Linked DNA regions of Notamacropus eugenii. The protein of the gene in region 1 purifies or fractionates together with the protein of each later gene. This does not show direct contact. Links are inferred from orthologs where the notes say so. Each region holds a gene or a part of one and is shown in the gene's direction. Other genes may lie near its edges.

What was found. Proteins that work in one complex are often made in the same cells at the same time.
Region 2: the proteins of DYRK1A (region 1) and SEC16A purify together in Homo sapiens (affinity purification with mass spectrometry, with the first as the bait; 3 studies listed by BioGRID). This does not show direct contact. The link is inferred for Notamacropus eugenii from reciprocal best matches to the Homo sapiens genes DYRK1A and SEC16A.
Region 3: the proteins of DYRK1A (region 1) and LZTS2 purify together in Homo sapiens (affinity purification with mass spectrometry; 8 studies listed by BioGRID and IntAct, counting the BioPlex papers as one, with this or other methods). This does not show direct contact. The link is inferred for Notamacropus eugenii from reciprocal best matches to the Homo sapiens genes DYRK1A and LZTS2.

What each region holds. Positions count from the first base shown.
Region 1 is NC_092876.1:420,706,004-420,713,366, forward strand, and holds the start of DYRK1A (dual specificity tyrosine-phosphorylation-regulated kinase 1A), read left to right. Parts: upstream 1-4,355; 5' UTR 4,356-4,485; intron 4,486-7,363. UniProt on the Homo sapiens protein: Dual-specificity kinase which possesses both serine/threonine and tyrosine kinase activities. Exhibits a substrate preference for proline at position P+1 and arginine at position P-3.
Region 2 is NC_092872.1:489,635,392-489,642,648, forward strand, and holds the start of SEC16A (protein transport protein Sec16A), read left to right. Parts: upstream 1-4,254; 5' UTR 4,255-4,412; intron 4,413-4,665; exon of another isoform or gene 4,666-4,803; intron 4,804-7,257. UniProt on the Homo sapiens protein: Acts as a molecular scaffold that plays a key role in the organization of the endoplasmic reticulum exit sites (ERES), also known as transitional endoplasmic reticulum (tER).
Region 3 is NC_092872.1:178,969,966-178,977,469, forward strand, and holds the start of LZTS2 (leucine zipper putative tumor suppressor 2), read left to right. Parts: upstream 1-4,501; 5' UTR 4,502-6,859; coding exon 6,860-7,330; intron 7,331-7,504. UniProt on the Homo sapiens protein: Negative regulator of katanin-mediated microtubule severing and release from the centrosome. Required for central spindle formation and the completion of cytokinesis.

The sequences.
Region 1 (7,363 bases):
GATAGCTTTGAACCTAACATATTGAATTAATTTGTTGTTCGATCATTTTAGTAATGTCCTATTTTTTTGTGGGGTTTTCTTGGCAAAGATACTTGAGTGACATTTCCTGCTTGAATTAATTATATACATCTAAAAAGGAAGCTCAAGGCTAAGAAAAGATGAGAAAGTTTGGTCTAAGGCTAAAGGGAGAGTTTTTTGATACCTAGAATCCAATCATTTTTAACACTCATGTTATCTTATTTAACTTATTTGCAGAGTACATCATAAGAAATGCCAGGTTGGACGAATCAAAAGCCAGAATTAAGATTGCTAGAAAAAATATCGACTGCCTCAGATATGCAGATGCCACTCTGATGGCAGAAAGTGAAGAAGAATTAAGAAGCTTCTTGATGAGAGTGAAAGAAGAGAGTGTAAAAAGCTTGTTTAAACCTTAACATCAAATATTCTAAGATCTTGACAACTGGTCCCATCAATTTCTGACAAAGGGAGAAGAAATGAAAGCAGTGTCAGAATTTATACACTTGAGTTCAAAGATCACTGCAGATGGTGACTGCAGCCATAAAACTAAAAGACACTTGCTTCTTGGAAGGGAAGTTATGGCAAATTTGGACACCATATTAAAAAGCAGAGACATCACCTTGCCAGTAAAAAAGTTCATGTAGTCAAAGCTATGGCTTTTCCACTAGCAATGTATGGTTATGATAACTGGAGTAAAAGAAAAGCTGAGTGCTACAGAATTGACACTTTAGAATTTTGGTGCTGGAATACACTTTTTGAAAGTTCCTTGGACAGCAAGGAGATCAAATCAGTCAATACTTAAAGAAATTAATTCAACCTATTCATTGGAAGGTCAAATACAAAAGCTAAAGCTTAAATACTTTGGTCACAATGAGAAGATGGGACTCATTGGAAAAGACCATGATGTTGGGAAAGATTGAAGACAAAAAAAAGAGAAGGGAATGACAGAGAATGAGATAGGTAGATAGTATCATAGAAATAATGAACATGAGTTTGAATAGATTTTAGGAGACAGAAGAGCCTGTTGTGCTATGGTCTGTGGCATCACAACTGAGTGCCTTAATAACAACAACCACAGCAATCATTTATGTAGGGAGACAGCAAAATTTTTCAGTCAATCAAAATACAGCCGATAGCTGTGGACAGTAAAGGCAGGAGTGGAGTGAGTGGAAAGGCTTGCCTTCTTAGCTTACCATTTTTCTGATCAAATTCTTTTGCATATTAAATCAGATAGGTTAGAGAGTGATTAGCTAATGGAAGGTTGAGATCTCCACTTATACATAGGTTTCGAAAAGAGACCTGGAGGTATTCAACTTGGCTTTTGTTAGCTGGTAAGATAATTTCAGCTGAGATGACCGGTTGGTGGCCACCAAGAATCCACCAAGAGGAGGTGAGAGTGACAAGTCCAGTGAGAGAAGCAGTAAGACTCCATCTTCCAGAACCAATTAATATTCCTAAAGAGCAAGTTTGTCCATATCATCCTATCCCCTCCCCATTCAATCAACTACACTAACTCCCTTTTGTCTCCTGGAACAAGTTACAAAATCCTCTGGCTTTTTAAAGCCCTCCATAACCTGCTCATTCTTCCTTTTCCAGTCCTTTTACTCTTTACATCCCTTCATGCACTCTGTGATACACTTTGCTGTTGCTGGAACTCCATCTCCTGACTGCACATTTTCACTGGCTGTCCCCCATGAGTGGAACTCTTTTTACTTATTGCTGCCCAACATCCCTGGCTTCCATCAAATCTCAGGCAAAATCCCATCTTCTGCAAAAGGCCTTTCCAATCCCCTTTAATGTTAATGTCTTATCTCTGTGGATTATCTCCAGTTTCTCTTGTCTGCATCTTGTTTGTCTTCCCCATTAGACTGTCTTTAGTTCCTTGACAGCAGGGACTGTCTTTGACCTTTCTTTGTATCCCCAGTGCTTAGCATAGTGCCTGGTACACAGTAAGAGCTCAATAAATGCTTGTTGAATCATGCCAACAGGAGAAATTCATGGTCCTGCAGCATGAGAGGTTCAAGTTACCTTCTACACGTTCCCCTTGTGTGTGTGTGTGTGTGCGCGTGTCCATTCTCCCCAATGATACTGTATCTATATTTTGTACCTTGAAATCGTAACTCGGCATGTGACTTTTAAATGTCTTTGCTTTGAAACAATTGTATCCTATGGCTGGCTAAAGAAAAGGTAAGTGTATCCGTGGATATTTTAACCGCAAGTAGACTCGCTGAGAGGGATAGGTTTTCTCTTGCGAACACACACCACACACACACACACACACACACACACACACACACACACACACACACACACACACACACACACACACACACACACACACACACACACACACACACACACACACACACACACACACACTGTGTCAGTGAATTAATCTGGGTGGTCAGAAGCAAGGGCATTCTTGGCTTGCTTTATTCAGATCTGACTATGCAGAAGGCACCAATTATGAGCCCAGCTCCAGGTTGAGACTTTCATCCCTTCCTGGGTCATATGCCTTTAAAAAAGCATACCGGGACAGCTCGCTTTCACCAAGTGGGGCACACGAAATACTCAGGTAAGTGGACGAGAAAGGAAAAAAACCCAGGGTTCCCCCGTGCCCCCCTTCTGGGGGACGGGGTTTCCCGTCCTGGACGCCGGTCCTCAGGCTGCTGTCGGCGTGACACTTCCACGTGAAGACTGCAGAACTCCGGGCTCCAACGCGGGTCTCCCGGCCCCGCTTCTTGGTTAGGGCGCCCAGGGCCGGCCCGGGGGATGGCTTCTCTTCTCGGAGGTGAGTGCGGCGGGCGGGGCCGCCAGGGAGGGGCACGGGGCACGGGGCACCGGACTCCGGAGGCTCAGCTAGTCTTCCCCGTCTCCACCCCCGCCTCCCAGTGCCTGCAGTGGGGCCCTCCCCGAAGCTGCTGTGCATTATGGGGAGGACGCCAGACTCTAGTCCGGTGGGTGGCAGCTCTCCAGATTTCTGGTGGCCAGCCTCGTTTGGGGCGGGGTTTGGGAATGTGTGTTAGATGTGTGTGTGTGTGTGTGTGTGTGTGTGTGTGTGCGTGTGTGCGTGTGTGTGCGCGTGTCTGCGCGCGCGTGGAGCCAGAATCTCTTTCTCCCTCTACAAATGCAGCACTTAGAAATACAAAAATGGGATCCGCTCCCTCCTCCCTCCTTCTCTGCTTTCCCCACCCCATCACACCTCTAGTCATCCTTCCCTTCTTCTCCTTCCTTCCTTCTGCCCCCTCCCCAGAGTGAATCACGCGCCCTCCTCTGACACTTGGCAGCAAAACAGCGCCGAATTTATCCTTCACGTGACCGAAGGGGGTTGGGTGGTTGGTGGGGGGAAGGGAGGCAGCCAGGAAAAGGAGGGAACGGAATTCGCCGTTACCCCGGCGACAGGCCCCGCCCGCCGGTTTGGGGAAGTGGGGTAGGAGGAGGACGTCAGCACGTCAGCCGGGGTTTTGCTGTTTGATTGACAGTTGCCATAGCGACCGGGTCGGTCAGTCGCCATTTTGTTGGTAGGGTTTTTTTTTAAACCCTTTCGCTTCCCGCCCGAATAATAATAAAAAGCTCCCTGGGAGTGAGGTGGGGGCGGTAGCGGCAACTGCGGCGGGGGAATCCGGGAGGCTGCTGCGGTGGCTGCGGTGGATCAGGCCCAGGCCGGCGCGGGGAGCGGACACCTCGAGCTGGGGGTGCGGGTGCCACGGGCGCTGCTGTTCCTGCTACTACTGTTCCTGCTGCTGCTGCCGCCGCCGCCGCTGCTGCGGGAGAGACCGGTGTGTGTGTGAGTGTGTGAGTGTGTGAGAGTGCGAGTGTGTGTGTGAGAGTGCGAGTGTGTGTGAGCGTGAGAGTGAGTGTGGGTGAGTGTCTGTGAGAGAAGGGGAGAGAGGAGAACTAGTGTGAATGTGAGTGTGTGCGCGCGTGTGTGTGCGTGTGTGTGTGCGTGTGCGTGTGTGTCCGTGCTAGGAGGATCTCTCGGGGGGCGGGCGGCTAGGACTTTTCTGGCGGATAAGCCGCCGCCGCCGCCGCCGCCGCCGCCGCCCCGGCCCCGGCGCTTCTCATTGCGCAGGTTTGGAGCGCGCGCCATTTTGTGAGATTTACAAAATCTTACTCGGAAAGGAGCCGGGAGCCGCGGAGACTGAGGGACCCCGGGCCGCGGCCGCCGGGGAGAGGCCGCCGCCACCGCCGCCCTCCCCGCCGCGCCCGGCCTCGCCCGGCCTAGCTCGGCCTCGCCCCGCCGCCTGACTGATCCTCCGAGGCCGGGGACTGCGGTATTTGCCGGGGAGGGGGGTTGTCGCCTTGCTGGTCTCTGGAGCCTGAGACGCAGTGGCCGGTGAGTGGAGCCGGGAAGTGCCGGGGGCGGAGAGAGGCGGCCGGGGCGGTGCTGGAGCCCGAGGCCCTCGGATGGGACCGTAACTGCGGGAAGCCGGGGAGCAGGAGCCGACATCGGCCGCCGTCGTCTCGGTGAGTGTCCGGAGCCTCCCTCCCCTCTCTGCCCCCGGCCCCGGCCGCAGGCCTCTCCCGGGCACTGAAGCCTTCCTTCCCCCCGTCCTAGGCCGGGCTCCCCAGCTAGGACTTGCAGTGACATACAGGGCGAAGGGAGAGGGAGGCCGCGTGTGCGTGTATAATAATTACATAGGTGTGCATGTATACGTTGGGGAGGAAACCTGCCATTTTAGAAAGAAGTGTCCCTGGTCCCGGTCCTGCCGGCGGAATCCCCCCCTCGTGGAGCCGGCCTGGGGAGGAGCTGCGGGTGCAGGCCTCTGCGAGGTGCAGTCGGAAACGGCTCCTTTTAGCGAAGTGGAGTGTGGGGTGAGTGGAAGTTAGGAGGAAGGACCCCGACTCCTGCGGATGGGGATGGCAGGTAGCAGAGAGAGGAGCCCTTGGTGCCCCCCGTGCTCCCCTTTTGTGGCCATACAGGGCTGGCTTCTTTTTATATCCTTGGGGTTGGAGAAAGTGCTGGGTCCGTGCAAGGGAAAGCTGCTTCAGCTGTGCAGAGAAGTCAGGAATTATTCAGCAGTGGACCCTTTTCCTTGTTAAAATGAATCCGCAAACATGGGTAGGTAGGCTGCAGTGAGAGGATGGAAACAAGGGCAGGTGGTGGAGGAGATGATTTTAAAAAAATAATAATCTTAATCTTTTAATCTGTTTGGGCTTTTAAAGTCAGGTAGTCTGTGGTACTCTAAATTCCCTGAAGTTAAAGCAAACTTGGCCTTTTGAGGTGGCAACTTAAATACCTGTTTAGCAACTGGAGAATTGGATGACAGAGAACATGTTTATCATAATGGACCCACAAAAGTTTTCAGATGTGGCTTTTAAATTTATGGACATAAACCCGGAGCCTGTTTGGAATTCAGCATTTTACCCCCAAAGTCAGTGAATATATTTCATATACAGAAAAGAAAAGGTCAGTGTCTCCATTCAAATTCCATAGTTATAAATAGCACCGTAGTAGGTGTCTATCTCTTAGCCAACTTGAGGTTCCACTTTATTCTTTCCTTGATCATCAGAATTCTCTGGTGCCAGACTTGCTTGATTCTTGCCTTACTCATCAGAAAATAGATATACCTTAAAAATTGACTTTACACTAACAATATTAAAGAACACTCCTGATTCTGCAAAAGAGTTCATTTGATACATAAGCAGCTGATTATAAGTAATAATGAATAGTGTAGCCATTTACATGTCATTACAGCTTTATGACTAAGGGGAAGTAGTGCTGTTAGCTTGTAATTGGCTCTATCGTTTGTTGAATTGGAAAGTGAAGGCTGAGATGATCTGGTGCCATTTTGTCCAAATTTATTTTAAAGAAATCTGTTAGAAGTATTTTTGTATTTGAAAACTATGTACTTCATTCACTGAAAACTCTTAATGCAGTTCTTAGCTTTTCTCCTCTATTTGTTCTATGTGGAATAACAGTTCAACAAGTATTCTGATTAGCTGTAGACCTTATTTGACTATTGATAACTATTCATATAGATCTGTGATCTCATCTTTTGGGACTTCAGTAATGCAGATCTCCATTCATCTATTCCTGGCTATCCTGAGTATCCATGGTTTCACAAAAGTTGGTCCTGGGGATCTACCCTGTGTGGTTGATGAATATAAAATGAATTTTGATAAACATAAGTTTGGTTTATTCCTTTAAAGTACCTTGCCTTTATCTGTGTACCATTTCGTAATTTGCATAATTAAAATGATTAAATATATTGGCATAAGGATATTTTTTAATGTAAGGAAGTTTTTGCTTTTACATACTTCTACATTTCTTTTCTGTTCTTTGGTTTAACAGATATAAAGAATGTTGATTCTAGGTAGACAACAGATTTCTGTGTAGCATAAGATTCATATAATTTTTATGTGTAGTGTGTGGATAGTGTCAAATACAGTAATTATGGGACTTAGTTATAGATAAAGTTTTAAAATACATAATGATTCTGAACTATTCAAACTAACCAATTTTTAAAAAAAGATTTGATGTTGGAATACAGTCGTTTTTATAACGACACTCTAGATGTACTCAAGACAAAAACTTTCTTACCAGAAAGTTTTCAGTGACTTGGGTCTATATTGCATCCTACATAGATATCCATGTGAAAATAGGTTATGACAGTTTCATATGTACTTATATTGATTTGTAAATTAACTAGAAAAATTAAAATAGAAAATATATTTGACACAGCATATATGTTACAACTTTTTACATCTTTAAAAATTTTAATATGTAATCTACTTTTTTGCTGCTCTTATTTGTTTTACATGATTTGCGACTGAGTTCACAAGATTTTGACACATACTTTAATTCACACTTAATCACATTTGATATTAAGTGTACCTTTACTGAACAGTCTGTTTTTCCAAGTCTGACCTTGATTACATCCCATAGATTTTTAATGGGGCTTAAGTCAGGCCAGTTGCCAGGCCATGACATTTGTTTATTACTTTTTTCTATTAAATAAAGTTCTTAACCATTAGTGACTATGTAACATGGTACAAAGTTACGTTGATAGTATTACAGCTACATTTAAGATGTTTGTAATTCCAGAACAATTCCGCTTCTCAGTATATCACTATATTAGTGTTTATAATTCTTTATAGAATTATAGAATATAGAATAGGGCCAAGACTTTCAGACCCATTGGAAGTTAAAAATCTCCAAAAAGACTTTTTGTGGGTGGATGTTTTCCAGATTGTGATCTAATTGCCCGGATCTTACCCAGGCTCACTTGAATTTCTTCTATTAAGAGTTGGTTTAGCTGTGATAGAAAAAATGGATTTCAGCAGTAAGAATTACTTTCCATTTATTAATGAATACCTCAGTTTTTGTATTGTTTTGCCTACC
Region 2 (7,257 bases), on another chromosome or scaffold:
CCTCTCAGGTTGTTGTGAGGATGAGATGAAACAATAATTGTAAAGCTCTTAGCACAGTGCCTGGAACATAAAAGATGCCACATATTAGCTATTATTATTAACCCTGGGGATACAAAGAAAGGAAAACTCTCCACTTCTACCCATGACACCTCTCCACTCCTGAAAAAAAACAAAAAATCACCCCTTACTATGTACAAAAAAGATATATACAGAATAAATTGGGGTCAGTCTCAGATGAAAGACACAAAGATTAAGGAAGGCTAGGAAAGGCTTTTTGCAGAAGGGAGGGCTTTAGTTGAGGCTTGAAGAAAGGCAGAAAGTTAGGAGGAAGAGATGAGGGAGAGCTTTCTAAGGGCAGCCAATAAAAATGTTCAGTGGCAATGGTGAGGAACATCAAGGAAGTAAGTGTCCATGGATGACAGAGTACATGGAGAAGGGTAAGGAGTAAGAAGACTGGGAAGGTAGGAAAGGGGCATGTTATGAAAGGTTTTAAGAATCAAACAGGATTTTATATTTGATCTTGGAAGAAACAGGGTGTCACTTGAGTTTAGTAAATGGGGTAATGGAGGAGAGGTCAGACTTGAGGAAGATCAATTTAATAAATGAGCAGAGGCTGGACTGAAGTTGGAAGAGACTTGAGGCAGGAAGACCAACCAGAAGGCTATTGCAATAGGAGATACTCTCATATCTGGGGATGATCTGCAACTAGGTGGAGTCCCCTTTCAAACAAAGAATTTTTTTATTCTGTGCAAAAGCTTGAAACTTTTACCAGGAAACAAAATCAATTCTCTACCTTTGTTTGCCACCTCCTGATAACTGACATGACCTTCAAGGACTCCAAGAAGGCTTCTCTTTACATTTCCTCCTCTCCTCTCTGAACTGATAGAGTACTTCTGTTTCCCCTACTGGTTGTTGTCCTTCTGTTCTTCGTTCTCAAAGAGGATTAAAATGACATCACCATGATAAAATGAAATTTCAGTGTGTCTGACTGTGGCTGATCAGACTAATACGACCTCGGAATGCTCTACCACAGGCTGGGCACAGATAGTCCGTGTGGATATTTGGAGTGGATACTCCAAATTTGTGCATACTACATTTACTTTGTGCTATTTTAATTCTGCTTTGTTCATAGAGCACAGCACCCTTTCTGATGTAGGCATGCCATGCTGAGCGGTCCTGTGCCAGTGTCTCCCATGTTGCACAGTCAAATCCAAAGTACTTGAGAGTCTCCTTGTACCATTTCTTCTGGCCACCATGTGATCACCTGCCCCATACAAGTTCTCCATAAAATAGCCTTTTTGGCAAGTGTACATTTGCATTCTAACAACGTGGCCAGCCCATCAGAGTTGTGCTCTCTGAAGCATAGTTTGAATACTTGGCAGTTCAGTTCAAGCAAAGACTTCAGTGTCTGGTACCTTATCCTGCCAGGGGATCCTCAGAATCTTCCTAAGACAGTTCAAATGGAAGTGATTCAGTTTCCTGGTATGGTACTGGTAGACTGTCCATGTTTCACAGGCATACAACAATGAGGTCAGCACAATGGCTCTGTAGACCTTCAGTTTGGTAGTCAATCTAATATCTCTTCTCTCTCAAACTTTCCTTCTGAGACTCCCAGACACTGAGCTAGCTCTGGCAATGCATGCATCAACCTCATTGTCAATGTGTACATCCCTGGAAAGTACACTACCAAGGAAAGTGAACTTATCCACAGCATTCAAAACTTCTCCATTTGTTGTAACCAAAGGTTCCACATATGGATGGTGTAGTGATGGCTAATGAAGCACCTGTGTTTTCTTGGTGTTAATTATTAGACCAAAATTAGCACAGACAGCAGAGAATTGATCCATATTTTGTTGTATCTCAGCTTCAGAGGCTGCATTCAGTGCACAATCATCTGCAAACAGAAAATCATGCACCAACACTCCCTCTACTTTAGTCTTGGCTTGTAGCCTTTTCAAATTGATGAACTTACCATCAGTATGGTAGTTGATCTTGATACCATGTTCAACCTCATTGAAAGCATTTGACAACATGGCTAAAAACATCATGCTAAAAAGCATGGGAGCAAGCACACAGCCCTGTTTCACTTCGTTGGTGACTGGGAAGGCACAAGAGCACTGTCCACTATCCATAACCCAGGCAAACATGCCATCATGAAATTGACGTACAATACTGATGAACTTCTCCAGGCAACCAAATTTTGACATAACTTTTCATAAGCCTTCATGATTAACAGTGTCAAAGGCCTTGGTCAGATCTACAAACATTGTGTACAGACTTCTGTTCTGCTCCTGTATTTCTCCTGGAGTTGTTGGGCAGCAAACACCATATCTACAGCTCCTTGGCCCTTTCTGAAGCCACATGGACTCTCAGGTATATGACCATCTTCCAGGTGAAACATTAGCCTATTAAGGACGACTCTAGCAAGAATTTTGCCAGCAATGACTAAGAGAGAGACCCCCCCGTTACTGTCACAGGATAATCTATTCTCTTTACCTTTACAGAGATAGACAATGGAGACATCCTTGAACTCCTGGGACATAACCTCCTCTTCCCATATAACTTGGAAAATTTCAGTCAGCTTTTGCGTGAGCAATGGTTCCCTTACCTTGTAAATCTCAGGTAGAACAGAATCAGCACCAGGAACTTTGTCACATGAAAGAAGCCTAACGGCCCTCAAAACATCTTCTTCATTTGAAAATTCAGCTAAGGAGGGATTAACTTCAACCTGAGGTAAATGGTCAATGGCCTCAGCATTGACTGATGATGGTCTGTTGAGAATACTATGGAAGTGTTCAGTCCATCTCTCTAGGATCATGTCCTTATCACTAATCAATGTGGCTCCATCAGCACTGAGTAGTTGTGATGCACCATTGGTTATAGCTTTCTGTTGCATTTGGCCAGCACAACACATTTTGTTTCATATTGTCATCTAATTGTTCTATGAATGTTAGCCTTGTCTTTCTTGCAAGATTATAACATCCTCTGAGCAGAAGTCTGGGATAGTAGAAAGAGTAGGCTGGGCAAAGAGTAAAGAGACTTGTGTTCAAGTGCTGGCACACTTACTGACTTTTTGACTTTGGGTAAGCCCTATCACTCTGGGCCTTCATTTCCCCATCTGTAAAATGGGAATAATAATACACTATCTACCTCACTCAAATTATGACAAAAGAGGTATTGATTTTTATCTATGTTTTCATGCCACCTGGCTCCAGGTTTGGGGCACCACCCTGATCAAATAGACTTGTTGAATTAAAGTGGAAAAGGTCCCTTAATGTAAATGTTAACTTACCAGAGATGACTGTTTGCTATACTAGATCTGTTTAAACTTTCCAAAAACAAACAAAAAAACCCTTTTTAAGATCCCAACAAAGTGAAGTAACTCTGTTTGATCATGCTAATTCAAAAGGGTAGGGGCGGGAACAAATGACAAAACAATTTTTTTCACTTAAAGTCTTATGACAGTCAAGGTCTCTGAGTCACTTTTGCAATGTAGAAGGCACTCTGCCAACCAGCTTAAGAAAAAACCAAACAGCATTACTAGCATGTAACGTTTGGTGGGTGATGCAACCGCTTACTGAGGGCAAGCTTGCAAAACTGTTCCCTCTTCTAAAATTCCAACAGTAAAGGTATGATAAAGTCTACCCTGCCTTTCTTAATCTCTATTTTCTAGACCATGGCACCTCTGAGGTCATTTAATCCAACTCCCTCATTTTACAGATGAGGTTACAGTGGCCAAGAGAGAATAAAGGACCAGACCAAGGTCACATGGCTTCATCCACTCTTAAATCCAACATCATAAAGCCAAGGCAGACAGAAGGAAGGCATCGCTGGGATGTTTTGACAAAAGTCAAGGACAGATTTTATTTTGACAGCCTTTCATCTGTTCTCACTATCCCTGTCCTTAAACTCATCCCAGAGGCAAAGAGGCATTGCCTTTGGAGTCAGAAGACCTCTGCCTACTTCTGCGACACTGAGCAAAGCCCTTCAATTAAATTCCTCAGTTTCCTCACCTCTAAAATAAGGGTTTGGAGTAGAGGTTTCCGAGATCTCTTAAAGCTCCAGATCTATGATCCAATGAATATAAACTAATTTCCCCGAGAGTGGGATTCGAACTTGTGAACACCGAATACGAACGGAGCTTGTCTAACAGGCTTGTCTAAGTAACCCGGAGTGTTCCGATTTTCAGAAACCTTCGAGTGTTATTGAGTGGGACGCTGGAAGTTCTGCGCATGTGTCAAAAATTCGGCCACCGTTTCCTACCTCAGAAGTTCCTCGGGTTTCGACGGGAAAAACTACGGCGCACGCGCATTCAAAACCCTCTCCAACTTCGATTCGCTCCGTAATTGACGGAAATAGCCGAGCCTCCCCGGCGAAGGGCACGGGAGAGATATTTCTTGATTGATCTGCGGGTAAGGAATCTTGCTCTTCCACGCACTTCACTTTGCAGATAGAACTTAGAGAGTTTTTCCCCCCGGCAAGAAATCACACCCCCCCCCCACTTCCGCGAAGGCTGGGACGCCAGCGTCAGGGGCGGGACGAAGCGGGGTCACGCTGTGACGTAAGGGTCGGACACGTCGGCGGCGGCGGCGGCCGAGGCAACCGGAGCCGGATGTGCCAAGATGGCTGCAGCTGCCGTGGGGTCTACGTTGGGGAGAGCCGGAGCCGCTGCCGCTGCCTTTCCCCGCGGCTGCTGAGCGGAGCGGGCGGGCGAACGCTCGGGGAACGGCTGTGTGGCCGCAGCGGCCTCCCCGCGGCGGGCTTGTGGGACGAGGGAGCCCGGCCTGCCCGGGGCTCTGTCAGGTAAGCAGGGGGTGGAGGTGGGGGCCCGAGGGGACGGAGCAGCCCCGGTCCGCAGGAAGGATGCGCCGCGGGCGGCGAGCGTCTCCACTCGCTGGAGCGCTTCCTTCCGAGCCTGCCGGCGCCGCCGCCTCCGGGAAGCCTCCCCGGCCCTGGGAAGAGCCGAGCCCAGGGGACCCTCCAGTGGGTTCGGAGTCGGGAGTGTTAATCCGCCCTGTGACTCTGCTCAAGTTTCTCTGTGTAGGATGAGAGTTGGGACTGGATGATCTTCAAGAGTCCTCTGATTCCTAGGGGGCATTCCAGCATTCTAACCCAGAGCCGGGAGGCCCTCAGGAAAGCCTCCCCAGGCCTGCCCTCGGTGCCTCTAGCTCTCATCCCATCCCCCGAGCCCCCGAACTGCGTTCCTGCAGTGGGGGAGGAGGGGTGCGGTGGGTGCCGAGCAGCGAAGACGTTTGGATTCCAGGCCTTTTTCAGCACCCAGATGATGGGGAACCTTGGAGGAGGCTTTTTTTCAGAGAAGCAGCTTCATGCCGTCAAAAGACCCGTGGATCCTGGAGTCAGAAGGACTTTTGTAGGAATCCCGGTTCTTTTACTACCTGTGGGTCCCTTCAGTCAGTTCTTGTTCACCTAAACATTTATAAGTGCCTCCTAGGTGTAAGGTGCTTCCTCCAGGCCTCAGTTTCCATATTTGTAAAACGAAGGAGGTTGGAATAGGAGGATCTTTAAGGTCCCTTCCAGCTCCCAAATTTTACAGTCATACAAAACTCATCCATACATTAACAGTAATGCTTTTTGGTATTTCTCAGTTAACAGCAGTTGCTTATTTTACTGAGACAGGGAGGAACTGAGGCCTTGAGAGAGCCAGTGAGGAGTCATATAAAGAATTAGTGAAGGAACTGTAGAATGCAGATCTTTTGACTCCTGAGTCAAATTTACTCTCTTTCAATGACTCTTGCTTATTGTATGTACTTTTCTTGTATAGTTGTCCTAGTTTTGAGTGCTAATAACACAACAAAATGCTTTCTTCACGGCCTTTTGAAGTAGGTAGTACAGATAGTTTTTTCATTTTAGAGAGAAGAAAACAGTGGTGAAGAGACTTGCTAGTGCTCAGTCAGCACAGGTTAACAAGTTAAGCACTCACTTTGTGTCCAACACTATGCTAAAGCACGGGGGGTACAAATGAAGGAGAAAACAAGGTCCCTTCACTCAAGGAGCTCACATTTTAATGAGGGGGATGACATGCAAATCATTCCATATATACTGGATAGAAATAAAGTAAATGAAATGTTATCTCGAAAGGAAGTAGTGCTGCGGGGGTTAGGTAAGGCCTCCTACAAAAACTGGGGTTTAAACTGAGTCTTGAAGGAAGACAGGAAAGCTAAGAAGCAGAGGCGAAGACATGGGAAACAGTCAGAAAAAAGGCACAAAGTCAGGAGACCAGGAGTCCCGTTCAAGGAAATGTAAATAGGCCAGTGCAGATGGACCATAGAAAGGAGAACAGGAAAATTTAAGAAGACTGGACAGATAGGAAGGAATCAGGTTGTAAAGTGCTATGATAACCAAACCAAGGACTTTAACTTTGATTCAAAGATAAGAGGGAACCACTGAAATTTATTGAGTAGAGGGTATTTATGACATGGTTATGCATTTTTGCTTTAGGAAAGTCACTTTTGGCAGCTAAGTGGAGGCTGGAATGGAAGAAGGAGGCCAATTAGAAGGCTATTGCAATAGTCAGGTGAGAGATGATGAGGACCTGTAGCTACAGTGGTGACTGTGTGATTGGAGAGAATGTACACACAGTAAGTGAGCATCAGAAGCAGGACTCAGGTCTTCTAAAGTCCAGTACTAATTTAATTTCCTTACCCTATATTGTCTCCAGTGCTTCTAATTACTATTAGCTTTTATTATGGCTTATCCTCCCCTTTCCTCCCTCATTTTTTGTCAGAATGAAAATCAAGCCTCACCTAAAAAAAGTCCACAGGAAGCACTGCAAGTGTTATTCTCTTTTTTAAGATAAGGAAGCTGAGGCCCAGAGAAGAAGTTTTGGGGATTTAAAGTCAAAAGACCTGGGCTGATATACTGACTCTGCCACTTATGGTTTATTCTCCAAAATGAGGGGGTTATATTAATGATGTCTTACAATTCTGAATCCTCTGATCCTATAAAGAGCCTGTAGTGTACATAGCATTGTACCAGTTGCTAGGTAACATAAAAAGTCAGACCTGGATCTTGCCCTTATAGTGTTTATAGTCTAATAGTATAGTACAAGCACAGATAAGGTAATAAACAATACAAAACAGTGCTGAGTAAGGACTAAATAGAGAGGTAATTCATTTGAACACCAAGAACGTCTTTAAAAGATACATAGAAATTCTCCAGCCTGAGGCAGGAAGCACGTTCCAGGTATAAGGAACAGAGCAACCTCACAGAAGCTTGAGAAGCCTGTATTTTAGGGGA
Region 3 (7,504 bases), on another chromosome or scaffold:
CACCTCTTGCCATGTAACTTGGAAGATTTCAGCCAGCTTTTGTATGAGCAGTTGACTCCCTGCCTTGTAAATTTCAGTTAGAATCCAATCAACACCAGGCATTTTGCCATATGAAAGGCACCTAATGGCATTTAAAACTGTTTCATTTGGAAATTTGGCTAAAATGGCAAAACAGCATGGGTGATGTCTTTTTGGTATAAATTAAAGTGAGGCAGAGTTGCACATAATCATCATCCTTACTCTTCCAGAGTCATCGGAGTCCAGTGTCAAGACAAAATCAAGATGACTGATGATGACCTGAGATGCAATGGATGACTGTTGGCATCTGTAATGTCTCCATAGTGCCTGCTTTAGTAGCCATTGTGGCCATTGGAATAAATTGTTCTCCACTCATTCCACCTGGGAAATCTTCACATACTTGGGATAGTCACTCCCTAAGACCCCTTGGTCACTCAACATAGTTTAGCCATCTGCTGAAATGGTTTACTGAGCATGCTACAACTTCTTGGAACCACAGGTGAGAGGGGGATGAATCAAACAGACACCAAAGGTGGATGAGCAGCCCTCACTAGTCTTCTCTGAACACACCCTACCCCTCTTACACTTTTATTAAAAAAGATGTTTTGATTTTTTATTTTTAGCTTTCTGTGATTGCCACCTATGACCACCAGGTGTCAGTGGTGCCCCCAATACCATGATGCCAACATCTCCTGTCCTTGTTTCTTATCCTTAGGATAGAGAATGAGGGTGTCCACCCAAGCCCCTGACCTGGAGACCCTCTATCTTTGCTTCCCAGCAGCCCTTTGAATTAGAGCCAGGAAAATGGTATCAAGATGGGGGGGGGGGCCCAATCTGACCCTGTAAACTTGGCTTTTCCTGCTCTCCCTTTCCTGCCATCATCCCAGATCCCTTTCCCATCCTACCCAAAGTATGGAAAGCAGGGGTGGTACCAGGCCAGTATCCATGATCCTTTCAAGGGGCTGGGCTCAGCCATTAGAGTCTTATAGTACATTTATGTGTATCCATCTGTGTGTTTACATGCATATCTGCAGAGTGGCAATGGCTGGTAGTACTGGCTTGATGAATGTTAAGAGTAGATCAGGATGAAGCCCCACTCCTGTTAGCCTTGCTGTGTTGGGGGTGGAGGGAAAGGACTATTCTTGGGCAGTTTTCAGGGATAGGTAGAAAGTTTTGTTGTATAGTGGGATACAGCTCCTGGTTTCTCTGGGTCTCAGGCTGGATAGAGCTGAGACTTTTGTTTTAATAATTCCTAGCTTTGAGCTGGCCAGGATGAGAGACTTAGGCAGAGACTCTATAGTACAGCCAGTCCTCAAAACTGCACATCCCTGGGAAGGGGTGTATGATTAGCCTAGCCTATGTGAACAGTATGGATTCCTCAATGGACCTTCCTCAGGATGCCCTTTGTGGAGCTTGGAGGAATTGGTAAGTAAAATCCTGGGCCACCGGTGCTGCCTCACATTCAGAAAAACCCACGCGGTACAAACCAGAATGGCCAGGGAAAAGAAGCTACACAACCTCCCTTATCTCCCCTCCCCTCCTCAGCCCCACCCTTTAAACAAACACACACCTTAACAAACACCCTGTACCCATGCAAGAACAGATACATGTTCCTGGAACCTCAGATCTACAGTGGGGTTTTCTGCAACTCTCTCACTAAAACGTGAGGGTGGGCCCAGGCAGAACCTACTTCATCGGCCTCAGTTTACTCATTTTCCTATTCAACACACATATTAAAGGCCCTTGGAAATGGGGATGAAAACGACCCAATATACTCAAAATTAGCCTTCCAGTAGGGGATAGAGTCCAAAGCCCAGACCTGGGCTAGGTGGGGCCTGATGTAGTCTGGTGCGTGAGTTCAAGTGAGAACTTGATAACTGACGGTTATACTCTGAGCCCTGTGCTAGCAATCACTATCAAGGTTCCTGTTTTCTATGGCTTACGATCTGAAAAACCAGCTGAAGGGACTGGGGGAATGCTTGGCTAAGGAGCTTTTTGTAAGGCCCTGACCTCTGCAGCCGGCTTCCAGCCCTGGGCCCTGTGCTCTCAGTCCTAACGGGGCAGTGTAATAGCTTCAGCCCCTCAGGACCGCTTAGCCTGCTGCACTCCCTCCATTCCCATCCCGTTTCCTGCTTTGGCTAGTTGGGACTTCCAGGACTACGAGAGCGCGGGGTATCTAGTCCTACGAAAAGAGAATACTTAGGGAGGCCTCGCACGGACCCAGAGAAAAGGATGGTCTGGGCCCGGCCCGAGAACGAGGAGTTCTAGCCCTGCTTCACCAGGTCTGCGAAGCTGTTCATGCCGCCGCTTACCCACCCTACCCCCACACGGCCAACGCGGGTGAAATTCGAGTCCCTCTGGGTCACTACACCTTAAGGGGGGAGGGCCCGGAGGGCCGAAGACGCGCCAGACCAGGGTCTGAGCTTGGGGACACAAACAAGGCGGGCCAGCCCCCGCCCCGCCCGAGGGACCCAGGACGCCCAGTGGGAGGCGTCCGTGCGAGGGCACGTGGAGGCGGCAGGAAGCGGCCCGCCGTGGGTAGTTTTGCTTCTAGCAGCATGGGGGGGCGGGGCGCTGTGGGCCCAAACTAAAGTTTAAGGCCTGGGTGTTGGTGTCCTGGGATCTCGGTCTTCCTTCCGAGCAGGGCCTCTAGGGCCGCAAAGTCCTTCGGGGTCCGGGTCGCGGGGGCCAGGCGGGGCCCTCACTCGCCGCAGGCCCTCGGGTGCGGCTCCGCCGGCCCCGCCCCGCCCCTCCCCTCCCGCCTGGGCAGGCGATGGCAGCGGGCGGAGCAGCTGGGAGGCCTCAGCCGGGCGGAAGACTGAGCCAGAAGCTCGGGGCAGCCCTCGGTGAGTGCGGGCTCGGGGAGGGCTCCCTCCGAGGCAGGTCGGACTGGGCGGCAGGAGGGGAAGGCCGGCGCCTGCGGGCTGCAGGAGAGCACTGGCGGCCCGGCCCGGGCCGCGCCAACTAGTCCGGAGACCCACCTTCCCCAGCCGCCCCCCGCCCCCGGCGCGCCGAGAGAGCCAGCTCGCACAAAGAAAGCCGCGGGCGCCCCCCGAGCGTGCACCGGAAGCCTCGTGCGCTAGCCAAGACCCGACGGGTGGAGGGGGCGGGATAGGGCCGGGGGCGGAGCCTGGGAGATTTTGGCCCAGTTCTGGCTTCCCGGCCGGCCAGGCGGTAAACTGGGATCACGTGTCTCCGCGCGGACACGTGGGCGCCGGGCCGGGAGGGGGCGGGGTGTTGGCGAACCCGAAGGCCTGGCTCGGCCCCAGGAAGCCTAGTGGGGGCAAAGAGCTCCCCCCGCCCATCCGGGCCCGCGGCCTTCGAGAGGGAGCAGGGCTGTAGCGAGAAGCCGTCGGAGGATGGGGCAGTGATGGGCGGAAAGCCTGGTCTGTGTCCGAAGTGGCGAGGTTTTCGGAGCGGGAGGGCTTGGGGGCGTGGCTGGTCCCGACGGGGGCGGTGCCTTCGGGGCCGGGGCGGGGCTGTCTTCCCCTTTCGAGGGAAAAAAAGGAAAACAAGACTCTTTCCAGGGAGCTAAAAATAGCCCTGAGGTTGGGAAGGCCAAGACTGCCGGGGGACCGGGGCGGGGAGAACGGCCGTCCGACCGCCCTCCCCTCCCGGGCCGAGGGCCGAGGCCTGGAGGCCCGTCACGTGGTGGTGGTGGTGGTGGGGCGATGTGCCCGGGGCTGGGCCGCGGCCGTCGGTACACGGTCTCCTAATCTCGTCTTGCTTCGGCAGTTTGGGGAGTGGGGGGACCCTTCCCTTAGACGTCTCAAGCGGGGCAGGAACACAGGAAGAGGGGCCCCTGCATCGGCCCCTGTCCGGCCCTGGGTCACGCCAGCAACTGAGGCCCCCCTTGGGGTGTCGGGGTCGCTCGGGATCCTTCTCTCCCGCCCCCCTCCGCAGGAGAATGGGAAGGGGTGGGGGGCTCCGATGCTCGGGCCGGCCTGACCGGGCTGGGAAGGGGAGGAGCCGCAAGGCCTTTTGTGCTGGTACTCGGGCCAGCGGCCAGCCTTAGGCCCCTTGGGGCGGGGGAAGGCCGTGCTGACCCTCGCAGGCCGCCCCCCACCTCTGCATGCTCTCGTGCACACCCCGCGTGGCTTCGTGGGAAGGCGTGCTCCCCACTTCTAGACTCCGGACCTGTTTGGGGCCGCGTTTGACGTGCGTGAATCCCGCGCGAGCAACAGCGCGCATCCGTGCTTACATGTGCACGTCTGTGTGCTTACAGAACACGGGTGACGTGGGCTGCGCGCGTGTCGGAGCCCAGGCGCTGGGGGCGGGGCTACCTCCCCCTTCCCCGGGCTCTGCCCCTCCCTTGCTTGGGTCAGGGAGGGGGAGGGGACGGGAGCCGGGGGGAGGGGAGGCGGAGCCCCGGTCAAGCTCTCGGGGCGTCCGAGGATCCGGGCTGCAGCGAGGGCTCCGAGGGAGCCTCCGGGGTGTGAGCATGGAGCAGCGCGGCGGAGGTGAGGGGGGCAGGCGCGGGGAGGGATGCCGCGGCGCCCCCGGAGTTAGGAGCAGCCGAGGCCCTTCGTTAGCAGACTCCGTGCTAGTCGGGGGGCGCAGAGAGGAGCCTCCCGCTCGGTGTCCGGGGGTTGGATTCCGCTCCCCCACGCTCGCCCCGCAGCCCCGCGGGTTTGGGAGGCAGCTTCCTGAACTCCAGACCCCCAGGGTGGGGGTGGGGGGCGGCGGCGCCGGCAGCTGGAGCGCGCCCAGCCTGGCCCTGGCCCCGAAGTCCGACCTGGGGGTGGGGGTGGGGGAGGGGAGCCGAGGGGCCCCTTCCCCCCGAGCAGACACAGACGCTGCTCAAAATGGAGCCTCCGATAGCCCCTCCCTCCAGCTTGGAAGGAGAGAGCGGGAGCCCGGCCCCCCCAGGCTCCGGCCTAGTCTGGACTTCCAGACTCCGGCTGCCCTGCTCGTCTCCGCCCCCTCTCCCCCTTCCACTTCTGCCAGCTTTCCGCGTCTCCCTGCCTCCCTCCCACCCAGCGCTCCGCACTTTCCTTGTGCTCACAAGGAGGCAGATGGGGAAAACTAGTCCGCCTAGTGACCCCTTAAGACAGCCACCCACCCACCATTGTGGGGGGGGGGGGCGGATCCACTCCTCTGTGCCTGGTAACCTTAAGGGTGGCATATCATCTTCTTAAAACCCCCCCACCCCCAGGAGGTGTCCGGGGCCTGAGCTGTGGTGCATCAGGCTCTCTGGTCTTCAGCTGCAGCTGGAGGGAACCTGATGCTCTCACAGAGACTTCACCAGCCCACTGTCGTGTTTTCATTTGGGGAGGGAGGGGCTGAGGTAAGGAAGAGAGAAGTGGAGTTGAAGGGCCTCCAGGAGTTCAGGTTCACCTTATACTAGATATCTGTCTCAATGCCTTTCCAGTTCTTGAGATAGTTTGATTCTGAAAATGGGGAGAGGACAGGTTTAAAAAGGGGGGGGAGTGGATTTGTATGTGGCCTTCACTGAGCGGGGAATGGGAAAAAACGTACTTCATGTGTGAATTCATACATATACAGCTTCAGTGCTTTGTGTTGAGAGCACACACACACGCACACACTCTTTCGTTTATCTCCAGATCATGTCCTGATGGCTTGAACAGATGTCTAAAACCCTTGGAGGGCTCAGGAAGGGCTGGGGTTCCAGATGGGCACTTCCTCTTCCCAACCTAAGAAGGAGATGAAGCTGAGGGTCAAGGGTCACCAGACCCTCCTCGGTTTAGCTCCAGCTAGATCCTGGGAACATTTGGAGGGGGAGAGTTAGAGCCTGTGTTTTTAAGAACTCTCTACAGGTCATAGCTGACAAGTCTTCCTTACTGGGGTTGTCTCTGTTCCTTAGGACTAATCTGATGGTGAGAGGTTTAGTAGGTGATATTGGGGATAGGGCAGGGTTTGTCATGGAAACTCTGTGTCCCTGGTGAGCTAGGAAGGGGTTCATTAAACCCTCAAATTTTCTTTGGGGGCAGAGACATCTAGGGTGGTTAAGAGTTAAATGTTTTAGGGTTCAGTCTAGCCCAACTTCTTGAAAACTGGGGGTAGGTGGTTTTTATGGGGAGGCAAATGACCACTGATTAATTTGGGGAGCAGTGCATTGACTGGTATGATTTGAGGAGGAAGGGCACAGGCAGCTCTCCGTTCCCTAATTACCATCTGGGAACAGGGATAGTATGTGTGTGGTGTCTCTCTTGCAGTGGGTAGTGAGTTTTCCCTTCCTAAGGGCTGAGCCAGAGAGACCTGCCTACCTCAGAGGGGACAAGAGCCCTAGACCTTAGTGTAGGGGCTCAGCAAGACCTGAAACCTCGGACTGGGGTTTCTGCCCTACCTGGAGGCCCCAGACTCATCTGACCAGTTGGGCCGGCTTGGCCACTTCTCTCCCCCTATCTGGCCCTTGCTCTTGACACCTTTTCCAGCCTCTCTGTACTCTTCCTCCCCTTCTGTTCTCCCATCCTCCTTCCAAGAGAAGCCTATTTCCCATAAAGTTTAAATCTATCTCAGACCCTTGGCCCCTATTGAGATAGAAGGGAGCTCTAGAGACATGAGAAGTCATGACCTTTCCCTTTAGCCTTAACAAGGAGCAAGGAACTAGACATGTCCATCTGTTTGTATGTGTGTATATGTTGGGAGGTAAGTTTTCAGGGTTTGGAAGCAGGGCTTAATAGGACACAGGACAGGCTTAGGATGAGGAGGCTTAGAATTGGGGCTGTTTGGTGGTGGCTGGGGCTTAGGGTCAAGGGCATAGAGAAGAACTGGGGATGGGGAGTTGGCAGAGGAATTTTGGGTGGGTACTGTTTCAACAGTGGGTTATAGTGGGAAGTAGAGGTCTGGCAGAGAGGCTTAGGAATGGGAAGCTTTGACCATGGCCTTCTTCCTTGCACAGCAGGTTGCCTTCAAGGCCTGTGGCCAGGCCACAGTCCTTCCAACCATGGCAATCGTCCAGACTCTGCCCGTGCCCCTGGAAGCTACCCCTGAGAGCACAGTCTCACACCCACCCCACCTGCCCACCATGGGCAGTGTGAGCAGCCTTATTTCAGGCAGGCCCTGCCCTGGAGGAGGGCCTGCCCCCTCGGGACCTCCCTTCTTCCGGCAACAGGATGGTCTACTACTTCGAGGGGGTGGTTGTAGGGCCCAGGAGCCACTGTGCCCCCCAGTACCCACCAGAAAGCCTGTGGGAAATGCTGGCTTCACATACATCAATGAGGACTTTCGGGGAGATTCACCCTCCAGCCCCTGTAGTGACACTGAGGATTCCCGAGAGCAGCAAGCCCGAAGCGCCCATCTCAGGGGCCCACCTCCAAAGCTCATCCCTGTGTCTGGAAAGTTGGAGAAGGTAAGAATGGGACCCTTCCTTTCAAATCCAAATGACTTTTCACAATGTTCAATGAAAGGAGGAGGTGGGATGGGATATAGTACCTTTGATGATTAGCTCTGCTTCCTCGACCAAGGGATTGTCAGGATATAGATAAAGGGAGCACATAGGACTTGGGAGAGGGTACCTCCTAGT